Linked DNA regions of Astyanax mexicanus. The protein of the gene in region 1 binds, or shares a complex with, the protein of each later gene. Links are inferred from orthologs where the notes say so. Each region holds a gene or a part of one and is shown in the gene's direction. Other genes may lie near its edges.

Region 1 (7,990 bases):
CAGAAACACTGTACAACTTTTAAAAAAAAAGTTGCTTTAAATGATTCAAAATTGAGCCCAGACTTATGTTAGAACCACGTTTTTAACAGAAAAAAGCACAGTTTAAACAGAAACTGATTCAAATAAACACTAAAATGACATATGTAACATGTTAATGTAACACTAATGCATTTACCATGCAGCATCACCAATGATGTAAAAAGTGTAACACTATAGAAATGTCATTGATGAGCCAAAAAAACAAGTTTTTTTAATAGAAAATAGCTGAAATGGTTCAATGTTTTGGCCTTTAAATTGCTGGTTCTCACTACAAATGTACCAATTAATTTAAGCCTGTTTTATTAAGGCAATAAAGATGCTTTCTATAGTTTAATATTGAGCAATGTCTTAGAAGACATTTTTTAAAATGTCATAAAGAACTTTCCTCATAGATTTAAAGGATACTTTATTACATAAAAGTGGTTCTTTCTAATGTAAAGTACTTCACAGCTAAAAATCTAGTGTGAGGAACTTATTTTCCAACCTTAATAATGTCCAAAACATGCTTTTTTGGACACTTCACACTTAGTGTGAAAAGTTTTGTAGTTGAGCTCATTAGAAAAAATTTAAGTGAAACCAATAATATCAAGCAATGAATTTTAAGTGTTTAATTAAGTGTTTAATTTATCACAATTCACAATTTAAACACGTCTTCAAGTGTGCAACATTATGGGGACTTGTTTTAAAATGGACAATTCACATACTCATACTTTCTAATTCTATAGCCATGCTTTTTGCAATGTGTGCATCATGTGCAATCATGTGGATTTGCATTGTCTTGCTGGAAAAAAAAACAGCAAATGCATCTTTTTGAATGAATGAGTAAAATGTCTACAGTAAATCGTCGCTGTCCTATGAAAAACACTTATCTCCATTTTTTGGTAGGTTTTTAGTTTACTACATAATTTGAACAGACAAACTGTCCCTGTGCCACTGTGCCAAAATTTCTTGATGAACGGGCCAATAGAAACACTTCAAAACGACCTGAAATCAAGTCTTCTTACATTGACTTCCACTGAAAGTTTACAAGGTTTTTTCTCTCTCCTGTAAAGTTGCACTTTTTTTTGGAGAGAAGTGTTTTTAATATTCACAAATTTATTAAGTTCGTTTATTATCAGTTTTTCTTATGCAAAACAATGTAAGCGGACTAAAATTGTTTAATTGTGTATTAAATCAGTGCAGATGGTTCTGATTTTAAAGAACCACAGGAGACACTGAGCAGATACTGTACATCATCTCTCTGCACATGATCCACAAGTGTTTCAATTAGTGTGTATAATAACAAATGCATGCACTAGTGTAACTAAGCACTAAGCCAGTGAGAGAGAGAGACACACACACACACACACACTATATACAGCCCAGCAAGCCTTTTTTCCCCTCTGCTTGGCCGTGGTCCCGGCCCATCTGCAGCTTGGCTCACGGATTACTGTTTGTTAATGTTTCAATCAGCTGTGCGCCGAGGAATGTGGAGCTATTTAACCTGAACTTCCCCAGGTGTGCGCCGGCGCCACTCAGTCTGGGCCCGCCTGCCCTTCCCTGCCCTTGGCACAATGCTATCACACAAACACACACTCACACACACAAATCCCTCTCTCTCTCTCTCTCTCTCTCTCTCTCTCTCTCTCTCTCTCTCTTCCCCAGCTGTGTGTGTGCAGCTCGCCGGCGGGAGGGAGGGGGGAACTGGAACAACACAGCACGAGGAGAGTAACAGGAGGAGGAGGAGGGAGGAACTCAACTGCTGTAATTTATGGGGAGTGAAATTAACCTCCCCGCTGCTGAAACAGCTTCGCTTGTAAAGGATTTTTAGGCCCATCTATCTTTATTCTTCTTCTTTTTCTCCTCCTCAAGCAGCTGAAAAATTAGAGAGTTAAACAACACATGTGCAGGGCTGACTGACACCCGCACCCTATGGTTAATACTAGTTCTGTCGACTGATTAAAAAATGTATGAAAATAATCAAATTAATCACGACTAATCACACTTTTTTACCGCAAGACTTTGCTTCCTTAACCCTAGAACACTAATGTTGAAATAATTAGTAACACCATCACTAACGTCGGGTAAACACGATTATAACGATAGAAAATAGAAAAATAGAAAAACGCGCTGCAAATACAACCACAACAAAAAAAAACAAAAAAACAGGAGGACCAGTAAGTTTTTTGGTTTTCTCGGTCACATCACGTTCAGTAGCTCCTCCATTTCCACTCGCTTCTATATTCTAGGACCACAGAGTTTAGTGAAAAACAGTATGTAATTCAGCCTGTAATTTTCTCAGAGGACTGGATTCGTTTCTGAAAATATTACAGGCAGAACTACAATATTTTCCTACAATATTTTAAGTACTATCCAGATGCACATCTCAGAGTTTCGTCACCTCGCGTTTAATAAAATAGCTATTTGTCCACTGCTGCGCACCGTAATTAAAAATAAACATAACAACTAGTGGAAATGGAGGAGCTACTGAACGCGATGTCATGTGATTGAAAAAGCATTAAAAAAAAAGTCCGGATGCAATAGTTTTATCACTGAGTAGAAAAATGTGAAATATTTTAAACAGCCGTCCCCCTGAGAAACTAATCCTGTCCGGATAGTGCTATACATAGTATGTGCGCAAGAGAGAGAAACAGAGTTAGTGAGAGCTTACACTTGGCTATTTAAAAATGAGCAATGACTGGTTAGGGTCCTGGTCATGCAGCTTGTCATCAGCTGCCGAAGCCCTGAGAGAGTACAAATTGGCCTTGCTCTCTCCGGGTAGGTAGATGGCGCTTTTTCCACTCATCACTACTAGGGTGATGTGGATCAGCACAAGGCATCTGTGAGCGAATGTATCGGAGCCAACTATGTAATATTTATAGCCGATAGCCTTTATTATTAAGAAGTAAGAAGTATATTATAACAAAAATGTCATTACTTATTCATTGGAGACAAGACATAAATGGTGGAATTAGTTCAGTGAAGGTAGTCTACTTTTGGAAAGCTATTAAAATTGAATGTCACATTATATTTAAATTATAAATAATAAATGAGCTAAAGTCTTACTGTAGACATAGGCCATTATAGGCCATTAGGTGTAGAATCAAATGATCTGATCAGCTAGGGATGCAGGATTTTACCAAAGCTGGCCCTGCAGCATCATGAGGAGATAATTTAGGCAAAAAGGTTAAATTTCCAAGATGATATTATAAATTATGAAAACACACTAGTAACAATTAACCACATACAATAAAATACAACTGTTTAGCAACACTGAAGCAACGTCATATCAATCCCTACTGAGGCCTAGCCAGAGAATAGGCCAGACTTCAGTAGGTTGTATTGGCCTCACTGTCACTGTTAGTGGACCTAGTCTGGGTCTATAAACTAAGTCCTATACTGCCACCATGTGGAGTAAGGTTGTGTTGGGTTCTGATCAAGGACTGTTTCGTAGGATTATAAACATTTAAGAGATGAAACATAATCTACGTTTTCATTGTCTAACATGTGTTTTGCATGTGAATGATAAGAGTGTACATTTGTGTTATTAATTTTTTTTTCTTTTCACACCTCAAAGTAGTATAGTACAAAATATATAGTACAAAAAACTAATATAAACATTAAAAAACATCGATTGAAAAATGCATAAAAAGCAAACAATACTATTATTTCTACTATTACTACAAAGAAAATGTAATAATAATTGGAAAATAATAATACATAATAACAACGACAAGTAAAATGAGTAAATGTAAATATAATCAGGAGAAGAATGGATGATCACAAGCCATCAAACCAAGCTGAGCTGCTGGAGTAAAGGCATAAAGTTATCCAAAAGCAGTGTGTAAGACTGGTGGAGGAGAACATGATTTCAAGATGCATGAAAACTGTGATTAAAAACCAGAGTTATTCCACCAAATATTGATTTAAGAACTTAATAAATATGAACTTGTTTATTTTGCATTATTTGAGGTCTGAAAGCTCTGGATCTTTTTTGTAATTTCAGCGATTTCTCATTCCCTGCAAATAAATGCTCTAAATGACAATATATAATAGGAAGTTGGGGAAAAAAAACAATGTTTTACTCAAACATATACCTTTAAATAATAAAATCAGAGAAACTGATTCAGAAACTAAAATGGTCTCTTAATTTCGTAATTTATATATAAAAAGCATCCAATACTATTATGTTAACTATTTTTGCTACTGCATTGTAGATTAATACTAGGGTCATCAGAACTATAAAAAAAAATCATGGAATTATTTAGTAAATAGAACGTGTTAAACAAACCAGAATATGTTTCACATTTTACATTCTTAAAAGTAGCACCTCTTGCTTAGATAGACAGTTTTACTCATTTTAGCTGAATTTTCTCAGTCAGCTTTATGAGGTAGAGTCTCCGGGCTTTCTGTGGCTTTCAGTTAACAGCTGTGCTGAACTCATCAAGAGCTAATTACTTGAATTTCTTGTCTCTTAATAAAGTGTTTGAGAGCATCAGTTGTAAAGTAGTGAAGAGGTATATTTACAGGTATACAGTGAATAGTGTATATTTGAGTAAAGTTCTAATCCAGATTATGAGAAGCAAGCACTACTTAGCTACTAAGTAAAGAAAAAATACTTTTAAAGCTTTATCGAGTGTAGTTGCAAAGACGCTATGATGGAACTGGCTCTCATTAGGGAAAAAAAAACATTGACTGAGATTGTGGGTGCAAACTTTTGACTAGTACTGTATATATTACATATAAATAATAAAACAAGAAATAAATACATACTAATATTTAGGAAGACGCCTAGCCCCCCCCCCCCCCCCCCCATCCTGCTTTGTGATTGGCCACCCTAAATACGGGTAGGAATTATTCGCGCGGGACTGTTCTAAAAACGGGTGTGTTAACTTACACGCCGTCGCGATTCAGCCAATCAGATGCCGCGCTTAGCAACCACGTGACCAAACAGACGGAAGTTCCAAACTGCGCGGTGTGCCTTCGTTTTTAGACCTAAATATGAAGTAAAATAGTGTTTATAGGGTTTTATATAAGCGATAAACACTCTTGATTATGTGTAGCACTCTTTAGAACTAATAGTGAGGGGCTCTGTGTGAGTAAATCGGCTTTAAACGCTGTAAATGTGTGATTATTAGCTGTTAGCTGCTGTTAGCTGTTTCTAACGGTGTGTTGTTATGAGCTGCCGGAATGAGGATTTTAACTGTGATTTGAGTTAATTAGAGAGATTTTCTGTAATATCAGGGCTGTAAAAATGTCTCAGAGGAAGAGAGTGGCGCATGCTGGCTCCCAGAACAGAGTACCGAGGGTAAGCAGAGCTGGACATTTAACTTAACTACTGTTTATACCTGATAACTATTGGCAGAAATGACTATTAGCTACCTAGTTAACCCTAACAAGTCTTGACCCAAAACCCTGCTGTATAACAAGTTATTTATATTCTGAAAACTTCTACAGGTCACTTGGAGAAGCTGCCTGTTTTCTCTCTAATTTATTCCACGTAATTTCAGATTAATAACAAAAATTGATATATATAACGGTATATATATATATATATATATATATATATATATATATATATATATATATATATATATATGTGTGTGTGTGATAATATAATATATCAAATTCTACTTGTTTGAAAATAGACACAAAAACTAGACAACTGCCGCAATATAAACGGTTTCATATGTATTGAGGAAAATATTGATTTTAAAATTAAGTTCAGAAAAGCTGCAATTTTCAGATTTTTATTCACTATATTTTGACAATTGCAGATTTAAATTTGTTAAAATATATTTTATATATAAATATAGTATATATTGAAAAAAATAATTAATGTTTTTTATTAAACATGAAACCTTTTTATGTAATGTTTGTATAGAAATCCTTAAGATATAGGGGTGTGATATCAGGCAAAAACTGAAAAAAAAATGCTGGCATTTTAATTTGTTAACTAACAAGTTTTTAACAAGGTTATATAACTGATGTGTGCTCTGTACATAAAACACTGATGCATTTTTACCCTTTGAGTATTTTTTGTTCAATTATTTATTTTACATTTGACCTAGTTTATTTTTTATTGAGTGTTGGACAAAGTACCCAAACCTTGTAGTTAGTTATTATAGGTTGAGTTAAAGAAGAGTTACTGACGATATAAGATAGAAAATATTATTTCAGTAAAAACAAAAGTCTTCCCTTTAGACCTCCTCTTGAGTAAAAGTACATCAGTAACTGCTTGCCTTCAAGTGTACTAAAGTTTTAAAAAAGTAAAAGTACCGTAATTTATCATGACATTCGATCATCAGCTATTATCATTTTCTTAACAAGATTTTAGTTTAAAGAGGTGCTAAACCCCCTGACTTCACTCTCAGATCAAATTTGAAAAAGGCTAAACAATGAGAGGTGTAGTTTGGGAAGGGCACTGGGTGATGTATGGGTTTAGAAGCGGGGCACCTTTAGCATCATCCACTCCTATAGCACAGTTTAACCTGAGAGGACGCTGCAGAGGCAGAAATTACCACAATAAAAGTGTTTTTTAAACAGTGTTCTTTACTGCACTGCATCTTTATATTCCATATATTCCAGGGAGTCTCCAATGTGGGAATTCTGGGCCAGTGCTGATATCCAACTTACACATTTATAACTTATAATATTTATGATTGCAATGTCTGTTCTGCATGTCTTTAAATCTTCACAGCGCTCGCAGCAGGTGGTACTGGACGAGGATGATGATGGTGATGCATCCTACACACAGCCAACATCATCACAGGTCCAGAAGGCCAGGGAGAATTACACACCTGTCCAGGTCGATCGTAAGGTAACTCAGTCTAATTAAATTCAAAACACATACACATAGTGTGTTTTTTTTTTTTTTAATGTGAGCTTATTATGGGATGGGATTATGGTTCGGTCTCTTCTCTGTTCAGTACACTTTGTGTGAACGAAGGACTATTGCATGTAGTTACAGCACCATCATTAATAAATGTTCTGTGTTTTCTAGTGTCTTTACAGGTGCTGGTGAACGAATTAGAATAATTCTAAATAGTGCAAAACTGAAATGAAAATGAAATGAAATGAAATTCTTTGAATGCATTTTTTGTGCAGAAAGCAAATCAGGTGTTCACCGCACCTGTCCTACTCGTTAGACTAATCACAGAACTCGTTACCTGGAAAAAAAATTGCTCAGCTGAGCTTTCCAAAAGGCCCATTTAGGCCATTTAACTGTGACACTGTTGTTTTATTGAATTAGAATAATGGAGAAACTGTTTAATTGAATTAGAATAAATGCTCGAATTTTTGTTTTCTGTGAAGAGTGTTCACTGTGCAGTATAAAGTCAGGGTTGAGTAGAATTTCTAAGTTGTAAAATCAATCATGGGTAAGCAGCGCGACCTCTCTACAGGAATAGTGGCTCAAATTCAAGCCCTTCGCCAACAAGGCTTGACCCAAACTAAAATTGCTGAGCAGCTCGGCATCAGCCAGTCTTCCGTCTGCAAAGCTCTCAAGAAAAACTGCAGCAAGCGCATCAACTGTTCCGGCGTCCGAAAAACTTCTGCTCGCGACAACAAGCAGCCGGTTCAAGTCCACTTCCGAGCTCACCGACTTGTGGAACAAGCAGACCGGCGCTGACGTCTCCAGATCAACCACTTACCGTCGTCTGCGCGAACTCGGCTTCAAATCTCGCGTTCCAGCAGTAAAACCGATGCTGAACAAGAAACAAATGGAGAAACGGCTGAAGTGGGCCAAAGAACACGGCGAGTGGACTGCTGAAGACTGTCAGAAAGTGGTCTTCAGTGACGAATCACGCTTCTGCATCTCCTTCGGTGACCAAGGTCCTCGTGTCTGGCGTCGTGGTGGCAAAACCTACAACCACGAGTGCGTGAAAAGATCCGTCAAGTTTCCCCAGAGCGTTATGGTCTGGGGATGCATGTCCGCTCGAGGTGTAGGGGAAACTCTGCTTCCTCAAGAAGA
Region 2 (6,958 bases), on another chromosome or scaffold:
TCATCAAGTCTAAAGTCAGTATAATAAAAATAAAAATGCTTTAAAAGGGTTAAAATAGCAGATTTTATTTTTTTGTGTAAAACATCTGGCACATCTGGAACTACAGTGTATGTGTTTTTAAAATACATTAACATTTTTAAACATGGTGTGACTGGTGAAAATATATTTGGCCCCTAAATGAATATTGTGGCCCCTTTAAGAACCTCTACTATGAGCTCCAGAGTCATACGAGCAAACCTCTGACATGAAAGCGAAGGCAGCGTTAATGCTTACACTTAAAATTTATTTTTTATTCAGAATTTAATGTACTCCAATTAATTACACAGGATTAGTTGATTGATTACTCATGTTGTATTAAAAATCTTATTGTGCATTATGATACTATAGTCTTATCGCCCACCTCTAATAAACTGAGCCTATATTCCATTTAAACACACAGTGACCCACGTGTTTCACACAGTCAATGTGTTCGGCGCCCTCTGGTGGACTTCATATTTTAAATAACCATTCCACCTTAAATGGTGCAGTACTTACCTGCTGCATTGTTTAAGGTGGTATGGAATATTATAACTCAAAAGAGCCCATGTCACAGAGCCTTTTAAAAGATGTATAAATTTACTTAGAGCACTTTGTTCTTCACTTTAGCTCACATTAATTTCCTTAAGTGATACATACTAAACATCCTGAGAGCATCACTACAGGACAGTGTGTGAATCTGTGTTCACTCATCTCGCCTTATTTATTTACAGAAAGTAGAAGTGCTTTAAATAGAGATAAAACCACTAAAGCTCCTTTAAAAAAAAAAAAAAAAAAATTCCACATAGGCCTGTCATGAAAAATTAAATGTTTTCAACTTATCACACAATAAACATATATGACCTTAATGACATGTAATAATCGTGATATCATCACATATTGTGTTTATTTGTATGGTTGTTTATATATAAAACATATATTTAAACAGTATTTTAGCCAGTCATGCAATACCAGACCAATGCTTCAACAACTGCAAAAGAAAAAAAACAGAAAAAAAAAAACCATATATTTCCCAAACTATGATTCATTTAAATGTTGTATTTAAAAGGGTACAACTGCTTTGTTGTGCTATTTTACTATCATTATGTCAGTAGCATTTAATGCTAATTTCTGGGATAATATATTGTCCATAAAAATGTTTTATTGTGACAGGCCTGTTCCAACCATTTTAACCATTCAAATGCTTTAATTAAATGTTTTACAAACACCTAGGAAAAAAAAGTAAAATACAAGACATACATTTTTTGTGATATTTATTATATCAGGATTTAACTTGATAAAATGTTTACAGTCATGTGTTCAGAATAAAAAAAAATGAGCTGCTTACTGAATTTATCTGATTTGATTTTTAAAATAGTATCAATATTCAAATGTGGATCTGGGTTCTTTGTAGGTTAAGAATAAAATTTTTGCTTTTTTGTTTATATTTTGTTCCTTCTTTGTTGTTGTACTACACATAAATCCCCCCAATATTTTATCTAGCTATTTAAAAATCTAATTAATTCACGAAAAAAAATAATTCACTCAAAATTTTAGTTAAAAAAAAAAAAAAAAAAAAAAAAAAATACACACAAAAAAAAATGTCTCGCTTTCACACGTGCACCCATGCTTGAACAGGCACGCACATCATTTGCCTCTCAAACCAAGAGCCCTGCTTACCCAGTGATATGTGTGATATGTTACCCTGTGACTTAGCGGCTCTGCACATGCACTCACACACAATTCTGTATAATTACTATATTTTTCACACAAAAAGGTGCACTTAAAATCATTTAATTTTCCAAGAAACCATCAGTGTGTCTTATAATCCAGTGCATCTTATGAATGAATTCTATCAGTCAGGTATTAAGGAGCAGTAAAGTACAGCGTTAAACAGGAGTTTAAGTGAAGTTTCTCCAGCACTGAGGCTGGAGCAGTATTAGCATTAGCTGCTAAAAGCACTAAGTGCTAGCAAATCACAATCCACATAATTGCATTTTGACTAGGTGCAGCGCAGAATTCAAAATGAAATGTAATTACTTGGTGTTACAAAAGTGTAATTAGAAATTCTTATAAAACAATATATACAAAATTATCATATGAGCTAATTGCCTTAGATTTTCCCTGATAAATAAATGAATAAATGACTAATTACAAATCTGTCCTGCACGTTTACTCAAAAGCATTTTTGATATGACGTTTTTATCCTACCTAATAGGGGCGTGCCATGTCATAACGTACGCAATAATATCACAAACAATTCATTATAAAAAAAAAAATCTATATCGTGACAGTGATATTCATGAAAGAAGTCTGTTTTGCTATTTACTGTAGCCCTGTCATTTTTTTGTGGACGTTATTTTGTCCTAGAAATAAATGCGAAAAAATATATTATTGTAATTTTAAAATCATTATATGCCACTGACATAATAGTAATAAAATAGGATGAAAAGCAGTAATATTCATTGTAATATGATAATAATGAATTATACTTGCATTGTTGTTGTAATGTTATTTATCAAAACCTACATGCTATATTTTTTGTGGGGAAAAAAATAAAATAAAAATGATCTATAAATACAGACCTGTGGTAGCAGGTTTTGACAACACAGCCCAAATCGACATAACACTGGATCGCTGGTTCACAGCTAATAATAATTAGCTATCTCGCACCTCTCTCATTAAGACCGAGGCCTAGGCCTCCCTAACCCTCAACCTCCTCTCCCAGCGGCCCCGGCTCTCACCTGGAACTTGTGGAAGAAAGCCTCCGGCCACAGCACGAGGAACACCGGGCTGATCAGCCCCAGCTTCCCGATCAGCGGAACCGCGATCGAGCCCGCGAACCAGTACCGGGTGATGAACGGGACGCTCTTAAACCAGTCCCCGATATCTGACATCTCTCCTCGGCGCTGCGGAGCCCTCAGCCCCGCTCCTCTGTACTCTAACCTGCGGCTACACCGGGCCCTGAGCGCGGCGCTGCGGCTCTGCGGATCGCGGCGGATCGCGGCGGATCGGGGTGAACCCGGTTCGGCTGCTTCTATTTTGGTTGAGTGTCGGTCGGACGCGCTTTTACTCCGTTTACATGACGTGGCCCCGCAGGAGTCGATAGGCTGCGGCCGCGACGCCAAATGACGGTTCTTGCTGCGATTTGTCCGCGTCTCCTGCGCGTGCATGTCAAAATAAAAGCCCCGAGACCGCGAAAGAACACATGAGGAATAATGTAATAAACTTTAAAAAGGGTTAACAAATGATGCAAGATTAAAGTCGTAACATTACGAGATTAGTCAAAACATTATGAGATTAAAGTCATTACATTACGAGATTAAAGTCATTACATTATGAGATTAAAGTCATAACATTACGATATTAAAGGCATAATATTACAATATTCAAGTCATAACATTATGAGATTAAAGTTGTAATATTACGAGGATAAAGTCGTAATATTACGAGATTAAAGTCATGACATTACAAGTTTAATTTCATAACGTTACAAGATTTAAGTCACATTACGAAATTAAAGTAAAAATATTATCATAATATTACAGGAATAAAGGTGTGACATTACGAGAATAATGTTGTAATATTACACGTTTATTAAGACTTTAATGCCATCTCATAATGTCATTCCATACGTCTTTTTCTCTCGTCATATTACTAGTTTATTATCGAAGTAAACTGTTTTTTAAATAGTGTTTGTTAGTTGAGCCCGCCTAAGTGCTTCTCAGAGTATTTTTAGTTGGTTTAATTACACGATTCATTATGTGTTATTTCATAGTAGGAAAAAAATCTTTGACTGGTACTGTATATTTGTAGAGCGAGAAGAAAGAGAAAGAAAGAAAAAAAGAAAGAGCGAGAGAGAGAGAGAGAGAGAGAGAGAGAGTGGGGGGGACTTTTATTTTGTCTTCACGTCACTCGCAGTAGTTGAGGCGGGCTGCAGGAGCCTGATTTGTTTTTGAGTCGCTATCTGAAGTAAAATAAACTGGTTATTTGTGTCGGGCTAGTTTTTATAAACCTTTTAACAACTTTAACACTATTATACTATATTTAGCTACGTGTGTGTACGCTTGTTTTGTTGGCTGAACCCGGTTGTTTCGGATAAATTATCTAACTACGGTTAGCTTAACATGCTAACTAACTAACTAGCTAACTTGTAAACACGCTTTACCCACTCGCAGGTCAAACCGGTTTACTTTCCGATTAATTCAGTTTCTTAACCAGTCCGCTGTAGCCGGAAATCACAGAGGTAACAGTTAGCGTTAAATTATGTCGTTGAGTTCAGTTCAGCCCGCGCTGTCCAGTCTGAAGACATGTCAGGTGGATATTGGGACAGGGATGGACATCGTGTCAGATGTCGCTCTGGATCTGGTGGAAGCCCAAGGTACAGTACAGCTATTTACCTAAATCTAACCTTAACTAATTAACTAACTAATCTTTAATCAAATACAGCCTTTTATACATACAGTTATATATTTCCTACATTGTAAATAAATGTTAAAGTATTTTAGACTATAAAGGAACACGTCGTGTAGTAAACGAGTAAAAAGTGTTAAACAAACCATAAAACCTATTTTGGTCCCACTTATCTGTGACTGGAACTTTCCTGTGCAACAGAGGTAACTCTTGCTCTTCCTTTTCTGGGGCGTTACTGATGAGAGCCAGTTTTATCATAACGTTTTTGATGGTCTTTGTGGTGACTGCACTTGAGGATACTTTAAGAGCTCTTGAAATGTTTCAGATTGACTGACCTTAATTTCTTAAAGTAAGGTTAATTATTGCGAGAATAAAGCCGTAATATTACAAGATTTAAGTCGTAATATTCTGAGTTTAGTCGTAATATTGGGAGATGAAAGTTGTAATGTTATGAGGTTAAAGTCGTAATATCAAGACTTTAATCTCGAAATATTACGACTTTAATAATGCCATTCCGTACGTTTTTTTCTCATCATATACTGAGTTTATTACTAAAGTAATTTGATTAACCGAGTTACTGGTTTAATGCGAAGCTTTATGGTTTACAGCACTGTAAACATGCTTGATGTTTCTTGTAATTGTTGAGAGTGTGTGTAGATTCAGATGCTGTGTTGCTATGATTCTTTTTATTTGTTTTATTCCAGGCACTGATGACAGTCCGAGTTTAAGAAAATTGGAGCAGATGATGTTAGAATGCGCTGCTCTGGACAGAGAGATAAACTGTTTTGTGGAATCTGTTGAGCAGACGACAGCTCATGTTAGTAATTTTAGATCGTTTCAATTCTAATTCTAATATACTTTTTTCTATCCCTCTAATTCATCTTGTATTTTCTCCTGTGTCTGCAGGTGAGACGAGAACCTCCACAGGCCATGTTCTCGCTGTTAAACTCTGTAAAGAATCGCTTTGCTGAACTAAAGGACAGGGATTCAGACGTTCAGAGACACAGCAAAGTAGTGGCTTTCAGAGACAACATCAGGAAATCTTTGGCACAAGGTATCGTACACACTGTCTCTTCCTGTCTCAAACACAGTACAGCGATTTCAACTCATTAAACTCAAAACAATAAATGATGATCTCTGTCGTAGGAAAACTCTTCCTCTTTCATTTATTGGTAGAATAGCTACAATCAAAATGACAGTGTTACTAAAAATCAACTATTTGTTTTTAATGATTCCCATCTACCTGGTTTCAGTTTCTGGTACCACTTTAAAATAAGACTACCTTTATAAAGGGTTTATAAATGGTTTACAATTAGTTTATTAATGGTTACTAAGTAGGTTGTAAATGCTTTAAAAATCATTAATAATCAGTTATAACACATACAGAGAAAGGACAGTGACCTGTTGTTTGCCAAATAGTGAACTATATTACACAGCCATCTGTATTGTTGCCTTTTCTACGTATATGTGTTATAACTGATTATTAATGATTTTTAAGGCATTTTCAACCTAATTAGTAACCATTAATAAACGAATAGTAAACCATTTATAAACCCTTTATGAAGGTAGTCTTATTTTAAAGTGGTACCCAGTTTCTTAATACCACTTTTTTGTTTAGCCAGCAGTGTATTATTGTACTATTATACTATTGTATTAATCGGATTCATTTAGGTAGCAGTTGTTTGAGATAAAAAGGTAATTAAACAGTTCTCATGTGTGTTTTTTTAGTGAACCAATCAGCGGCTGCCCATGTTGAAGAGGAGCTGGATGAAGACATTGCTGTTACACAGAGCCAGACAAACTTCACATGTCCTCTTACCCAGGTAAACTTTTGCTTTTAACAGATACATTAATAGTGTTGTCTCAAAATCCAACATTTTGACTTTGGATATGATACCTGCCTAAATATCTCAATAACAATACTGAAACAATACCACAGCATTTTAACATTATTAATAATACTAATAAAGCTTATTGAAATAATGCCACAGTGAATGCGTGCTTCAATCACAGCGATTAAAAAAAATGGCAGTTTAACAAAATACTTTTTTTTTTTTCTTGGGTGTTTTGCGCAACTACTGGGGTTTTAAATGATAAAATAATGTATTAGCATTAATCACATTATTTTTCCTAGTTAATTTGGTCATATTTCTTTTTTATTTTCCATAAATGCATCTTGTTTAAGCTCTGTGGTTGGATGCAAAGGTTTAATCAAAGTCTGTTTATTACGTAATTTAAGTAAATTCAGGAACATTTCATGGTGTGAGTGCATATTATGTATTACTTTTATAAAAATTTGAGTGGTTTGACCTCATCATTCACAGGTTGAGATGGTAAATCCAGTACGAAACAAGAAGTGCCAACATTACTACGACCAAGAAGCTGCACTGACCATGATCAAGACCAGACACAACAACAAGAAGAAGTTCCGGTAAGCTGCTTTCAGCTGTGTGCATTTCTGCACATTTCACTTAGATATCCAATATTTTGTCTAAGGGTGAGTTTTCAGAGAAGTTTCTTCTGCACTAAG
Region 3 (7,062 bases), on another chromosome or scaffold:
ATTTTTGACTTTTTTTTCAGACCAAATACACATCAGATGAAGAGTTCTAGTATTCTCAAAATCAATGCTTTATATTCATTATTTCTGTGCAAAATGGCTTTCATGTCATGTTGCCAATTCATTTTAAAGGATAAAATCAGCTCGGGCCAGGCTATTTCCAGGCTTTCCTTAAAGTAGAAGACTAGTACTCTTTAGATCATGTGTATTTGGTCTGACCCAAGATTAAAAAGTCCTTCAAAATCACACTAGAACATCAGCTTTACATAAAACATTGTGCATTGTGGATCGGTATTCCATGTTGCCAGTTCATTTTAAAGTATAAAATCAGCTTGGGCCAGGCTAATTCCAGGTTTTCCTTAAAGTAGAAGACTAGTACTCTTTAATCTTGGGCCAGACCAAATACACATGATCTGAAGAGTCCTTCAAAATCACACTGGAACATCAGCTTTACATAAAAAAATTGTGCATTATGGATTGGTATGCTATGTTGCCAGTTCATTTTAAAGTATAAAATCAGCTCGGGCCAGGCTAATTCCAGGTTTTCCTTAAAGTAGAAGACTAGTACTCTTCAGATCATGTGTATTTGGTCTGGCCCAAGATTAAAAAGTCCTTCAAAATCACACTAGAACATCAGCTTTATATTCAATTTTTTTGTGCATTATGGATCGTTATTCCATGTTGCCAGTTCATTTTTAAGTATAAAATCAGCTCGGGCCAGGCTAATTCCAGGTTTTCCTTAAAGAAGAAGACTAGTACTCTTCAGATCATGTGTATTTGGTCTGGCCCAAGATTAAAAAGTCCTTCAAAATCACACTAGAACATCAGCTTTACATAAAAAAATTGTGCATTATGGATTGGTATGCTATGTTGCCAGTTCATTTTAAAGTATAAAATCAGCTCGGGCCAGGCTAATTCCAGGTTTTCCTTAAAGAAGAAGACTAGTACTCTTCAGATCATGTGTATTTGGTCTGGCCCAAGATTAAAAAGTCCTTCAAAATCACACTAGAACATCAGCTTTACATAAAAAAAATTGTGCATAATGGATTGGTATGCTATGTTGCCAGTTCATTTTAAAGTATAAAATCAGCTTGGGCCAGGCTATTTCCAGGTTTTCCTTAAAGTAGAAGACTAGTACTCTTTAGATCATGTGTATTTGGTCTGGCCCAAGATTAAAAAGTCCTTCAAAATCACACTAGAACAATAGCTTTATATTAAATTTTTTTGTGCATTATGGATCGGTAGGCCATGTTGCCAGTTAATTTTAAAGTATAAAATCAGCTTGGGCCAGGCTAATTCCAGGTTTTCCTTAAAGTAGAAGACTAGTACTCTTTAGATCATGTGTATTTGGTCTGGCCCAAGATTAAAAAGTCCTTCAAAATCACACTAGAACATCAGCTTTATATTCAATTTTTTTGTGCATTATGGATCGTTATTCCATGTTGCCAGTTCATTTTTAAGTATAAAATCAGCTCGGGCCAGGCTAATTCCAGGTTTTCCTTAAAGAAGAAGACTAGTACTCTTCAGATCATGTGTATTTGGTCTGGCCCAAGATTAAAAAGTCCTTCAAAATCACACTAGAACATCAGCTTTACATAAAAAAATTGTGCATTATGGATTGGTATGCTATGTTGCCAGTTCATTTTAAAGTATAAAATCAGCTCGGGCCAGGCTAATTCCAGGTTTTCCTTAAAGTAGAAGACTAGTACTCTTCAGATCATGTGTATTTGGTCTGGCCCAAGATTAAAAAGTCCTTCAAAATCACACTAGAACATCAGCTTTATATTCAATTTTTTTGTGCATATGGATCTGTTTTCCATGTTGCCAGTTCATTTTAAAGTATAAAATCAGCTTGGGCTAGGCTATTTCCAGGTTTTCCTTAAAGTAGAAGACTAGTACTCTTTAGATCATGTGTATTTGGTCTGGCCCAAGATTAAAAAGTCCTTCAAAATCACACTAGAACATCAGCTTTATATTCAATTTTTTTGTGCATTATGGATCGGTAGGCCATGTTGCCAGTTAATTTTAAAGTATAAAATCAGCTTGGGCCAGGCTAATTCCAGGCTTTCCTTAAAGTAGAAGACTAGTACTCTTCAGATCATGTGTATTTGGTCTGGCCCAAGATTAAAAAGTCCTTCAAAATCACACTAGAACATCAGCTTTGTATTCAATTTTTTTGTGCATTATGGATCGGTAGGCCATGTTGCCAGTTAATTTTAAAGTATAAAATCAGCTTGGGCCAGGCTAATTCCAGGCTTTCCCTAAAGTAGAAGACTAGTACTCTTTAGATAATGTGTATTTGGTCTGGCCCAATATGAAAAAGTCCTTCAAAATCACACTGGAACATCAGCTTTACATAAAAAAAATTGTGCATTATGGATCGGTATGCTATGTTGCCAGTTCATTTTAAAGTATAAAATCAGCTCGGGCCAGGCTAATTCCAGGTTTTCCTTAAAGTAGAAGACTAGTTCTCTTCAGATCATGTGTATTTGTTCTGGCCCAAGATTAAAAAGTCCTTCAAAATCACACTAGAACATCAGCTTTATATTCAATTTCTTTGTGCATTATGGATCGTTATTACATGTTGCCAGTTCATTTTAAAGTATAAAATCAGCTTGGGCCAGGCTAATTCCAGGTTTTTCTTAAAGTAGAAGACTAGTACTCTTCAGATCATGTGTATTTGGTCTGGCCCAAGATGAAAAAGTCCTTCAAAATCACACTGGAACATCAGCTTTACATAAAAAATTGTGCTTTATGCATCGGTATTCCAGGTTGCCAGTTCATTTTAAAGTATAAAATCAGCTTGGGCCAGGCTATTTCCAGGTTTTTCTTAAAGTAGAAGACTAGTACTCTTCAGATCATGTGTATTTGGTCTGGCCCAAGATGAAAAAGTCCTTCAAAATCACACTAGAACATCAGCTTTACATAAAAAAAATTGTGCATTATGGATTGGTATGCTATGTTGCCAGTTCATTTTAAAGTATAAAATCAGCTCGGGCCAGGCTAATTCCAGGTTTTCCTCAAAGTGGGAGAGTAGTTCTCTTCATCTGATGTGTATGTGTTCTGGCCCAAGATGAAAAAGTCTTTCAAAGTTTGCCAGTTCATTTTAAAGTATAAAATCAGCTCGGGCCAGGCTACTTCCAGGTTTTCCTTAAAGAAGAAGACTAGTACTCTTCAGATCATGTGTATTTGGTCTGGCCCAAGGTTAAAAAGTCCTTCAAAATCACACTGGAACATCAGCTTTTCATAAAAAAAATTGTGCATTATGGATCGGTATGCTATGTTGCCAGTTCATTTTAAAGTATAAAATCAGCTCGGGCCAGGCTACTTCCAGGTTTTCCTTAAAGTAGAAGACTAGTACTCTTCAGATCATGTGTATTTGGTCTGGCCCAACATGAAAAAGTTCTTCAAAATCACACTTGAACATCTGCCTCATATTTTTTGAGCGCAATGGCTTTTAAAATATAATTTTATTAATCATATATTTAATTATTTATTGTAATATATAATTATAAATTCAGTAATTAAAATAAATATTTTACAATATACAAAATTATATTTAATAATATATTGTATATTTACATTGTTAATAAACAGATGTACTGCTTTTCTTCATTCTATCTCCTTCAGTGTTGATCTGTGAGGTGTTTAATATAAACAGCGGGTGTTTGTGAACGCTCCCTTTAGTTCACGGTGGTTCAGTGAAGCGGCAGCTGCGAATATCAAACCAACTTCAGCCGGGGAATACGAGGCTGCGAATATCGAGCCAAACGAATCTGGAGCTGCGAATATCAAACCAACTTCAGCCTCGTGGAAACATGCTCTCTCTATATAACTTATATACATTTATAAAAAGCACATAAGTAAGATTTATATTGTTGTAATATATCCAACAACAAAAAATACGCGAAAATAAAACAATAAATAAATAATTAAATAAATAAATAAATAAAGGGATTCAAAGAGAATTAGTATAATACATTTGGTAAACATTCTGAAACAAACTCCAGAGGGTCTTGAACGCTGCACGAAACCCGGAACGAAACCGACTTCCGTGTTTATTTTACCGCGAAGACACAACTAGCTCAGTGCTTAGAGCTGGATTCTGGAAGCAGCCTCACTTTATAGCTGTTTATTAACTATAATCTTAAAAAGTAGATGGATTTAATGTTAGCGATATGTGTTTCCAGATGTGTTTAGTGGTGTCTGAGTCACTAGTGAAGCGCTAGTGTTAACTAGCCGCGCGGGAGCTGCAGAATCTCTGCGGCACCAGTTCAGCTCACTAATAACAGCAGCAGCGGGTAATGTATCGCCAGCTAGCTAAACAGCTAACAACTAGCTATTTAACTACTGTTCTAAATGCTCTTTAATTGTGAAGGCTGTTAACTGCTAACCATTTATCCCACAGCTATTTCTGAATATTGATGCCACATTTAAAATTGATTTAGATAAATTTATACATGATCAGCTCATTTATGTTTTTTTTTATTATTATTGTGGGAACATGACGGTTAGCTAGCTAACTAATATTTTAAGGTAAAATACTTGATGTAACACAGCGTTAACCCTTCTGTTATGCTACGGGTCAAATAGACCCGTTTTAAAGTTTGAAGATCTAGAAAAAATAGTTACAAGTAGGGGTGTGCGATATCGTGTCGTACGCAATAATACCGCAGACATTTTTCGAATATTGTGACATTCCAAAAATATATAGTTTCCCATTATAGATCTACTAGAGACAGATTATATCTGTCCAATATCATTTATTTAACTTTAATCCTGGAAATATGGAGATATCTGGAGTGCATTATTGTTAGTATCATGACATTGTGGATCATTGACTTCTGTTACAAATCTGATAAAATTCTTGTATTTTTAAATATCTCAGTTAGGGGTGTGCCAAGTCATATCGTATGCAATAATAAAATGTAATTTTAATTTTGTTGCAGTAGTATAATTTTGAAAATAATTTTTTTGTATTTCGATGTTTTGTCATATCGCCAAGAGTATAGTTATCACAGAAATACTGTGAAATATCATTATATTATTTTAGAGCCATATCACCCACCCCTAGTTAAAAGTATTTTTTAGTATGAAACTTTTTCTGCTTGCTATAATTAGTGTATTCAACATAAAAGTTAATATGAAAATGATTCATCTCTCACATTTGCAACCACCCCCTGCAAAAACCAAAAACTAAAACAAAATTGAAGTGTAATGTTTCAGTGTTATGTAAAACTATGAATTGTATATGTTGGTCTTTCAAAAGTGAAACTTAAAAAAAAAAAAAACGAGTGAATTATCCTAAGTAAACCATTACCTGATAGAGGCACTAAATATTGATAGAATAATTAGTAATAGAGTTAGTAATTAAATATGTACACTGCTTGTTAGGAGTTTTCCGACATCTTTTGGATAATTAAACATGCATGCACCGGGTCAAATTGACCTGGGAACACCATTGCTGTCCCTGGCAAATGAACATAACAGAAGGTTTAAATGAAACAACAACAATTTATAACTCATAAGATCTCAGAATAGCTTCTGAAACATTAGAACTATTAGAATTATTTATTTTAAATTTAGTGAATGACATTTAGTTCATTTAACTTAAGTTAGAGAGAGTTGTCTAAATGTGCTATTTGTTAAATTAGGCTTCATTCACATTACCAGGCTGAAGTGACTCAAATCATTTTTTTTTGCTCAATATGACTCAGATCTGTTTTTTTTCCTCCACTTATAAGCAGCTAACACATAAATTTCACCTTTATAAAGCAACAATTTGTCTTCCAATTATGAATTTTTTGTTGTTAGTGAAGAATGCGACATTTGTATATGTATCAATGTGCGCATGTGAGGCGTTTGAGGGACCGATTAGTTCACAGATTACACACAGATACAGGTCACTTACAATTGTGAATGTGGACCGTCAAGATAGCCAAATCCCATCTGAGCAAATCGGATTGGAGGATTTGTGGCTTGTAATGTAAACGCAGGCTAATTGAATTTATTTTGGTTCATTCATTTAGGCAACTGAAGAATCTGACCACCGTTATTACATACAGAACCGCTACCGCTCTGTCGGGAGATGTCTGAGTCAAGGCGGAGAGTGAGCAGAGGAAGTCAGGAGGAGTCTGCTGCACATACCAATGGAGTAGGAGGACGCAGCAGGTCCGAGAGAGCAGCAGACACGGGTGATGAGGATGAGGGTGCTGGTCCATCAGGGATCCATGAGGAAGATGATGACCCGGCCCGTCGGAGGGAGATCAGAAGCCAGTACAGGGACCTCATCAACTCTGTCCAGCGTGAGCACCTCAATTGTGTTTTTTTCTACACAGCTGTGCTTTTTAGTGTTGCCAACTTGCTGCTACTTTTACACTTCTGTGTATCTAGTCTGAGTCATTTGTACTAACATGCCTGACTGTTGTTCCCAGAAAATCGTGAGGACATGTTGAACCCTGCCAACAATAAGCTGATTGATGTGTTAGAAGAAGCCAACAAACTGTTTGCTAATGGTAAATACGTATTTTTTTTTTTATATTGACCAACCGTGTGTTCTACATATTGTGACGGCAGGTTTATGACATAACTGACTTTTATTTGTGTGTAAATGTATTGATTTTTTTTGTATGTTTCCTTTTCAGTCAGGCAAGCTCGAGAAGCTGCTTTGGATGCTCAGCTGCTGGTTCTTGCCACAGACCTGGGAAGGGAAAAAGCCAGCCAGCTCCATGCAGAGGGATCGTCTTTTGACCCTTCTGCATTTGCAGAGCATTTGGTGAGCCACTGCATACCAGGATGATCGAAATAATATTCTAAAGCACATGGCTGTTTTCCAAACATGGAAATTCAGTGTATAAATTTAACTTTTTTTTAAATAGTTGTCCTTCATGGGTCTTAATCGCTTGGAAGAAGAGGAGGATGATCAAGAAGGCTTAGATGGATATTTGCCTCCAGATGCCTGGCAGAAACTTTCCAAAAGGGCAGAACATTGTTTTAAAACAGCGCCGTCATTCCATTACTTGTATGTATAATAAAACATGTGATAAGAATTTCATTTATGGACTT

What was found.
Region 2: ndnl2 (region 1) and nsmce2 share a complex: the UniProt entries of both Homo sapiens proteins name them as parts of the SMC5-SMC6 complex. The link is inferred for Astyanax mexicanus from reciprocal best matches to the Homo sapiens genes NSMCE3 and NSMCE2.
Region 3: ndnl2 (region 1) and nsmce4a share a complex: the UniProt entries of both Homo sapiens proteins name them as parts of the SMC5-SMC6 complex. The link is inferred for Astyanax mexicanus from reciprocal best matches to the Homo sapiens genes NSMCE3 and NSMCE4A.

What each region holds. Positions count from the first base shown.
Region 1 is NC_064420.1:45,881,226-45,889,215, reverse strand, and holds the start of ndnl2 (necdin-like 2), read left to right. Parts: upstream 1-4,939; 5' UTR 4,940-5,272; coding exon 5,273-5,326; intron 5,327-6,718; coding exon 6,719-6,838; intron 6,839-7,990. UniProt on the Homo sapiens protein: Component of the SMC5-SMC6 complex, a complex involved in repair of DNA double-strand breaks by homologous recombination. The complex may promote sister chromatid homologous recombination by recruiting the SMC1-SMC3 cohesin complex to double-strand breaks.
Region 2 is NC_064413.1:4,744,530-4,751,487, reverse strand, and holds the start of nsmce2 (E3 SUMO-protein ligase NSE2), read left to right. Parts: upstream 1-3,933; 5' UTR 3,934-4,281; coding exon 4,282-4,396; intron 4,397-5,132; coding exon 5,133-5,245; intron 5,246-5,334; coding exon 5,335-5,482; intron 5,483-6,156; coding exon 6,157-6,251; intron 6,252-6,752; coding exon 6,753-6,859; intron 6,860-6,958. Other genes in the region: derl1 (derlin-1), read right to left, coding at 2,760-2,912. UniProt on the Homo sapiens protein: E3 SUMO-protein ligase component of the SMC5-SMC6 complex, a complex involved in DNA double-strand break repair by homologous recombination. Is not be required for the stability of the complex.
Region 3 is NC_064414.1:35,024,445-35,031,506, reverse strand, and holds the start of nsmce4a (non-structural maintenance of chromosomes element 4 homolog A), read left to right. Parts: upstream 1-4,037; 5' UTR 4,038-4,298; intron 4,299-6,026; exon of another isoform or gene 6,027-6,062; 5' UTR 6,063-6,085; coding exon 6,086-6,302; intron 6,303-6,431; coding exon 6,432-6,512; intron 6,513-6,641; coding exon 6,642-6,772; intron 6,773-6,875; coding exon 6,876-7,018; intron 7,019-7,062. UniProt on the Homo sapiens protein: Component of the SMC5-SMC6 complex, a complex involved in DNA double-strand breaks by homologous recombination. The complex may promote sister chromatid homologous recombination by recruiting the SMC1-SMC3 cohesin complex to double-strand breaks.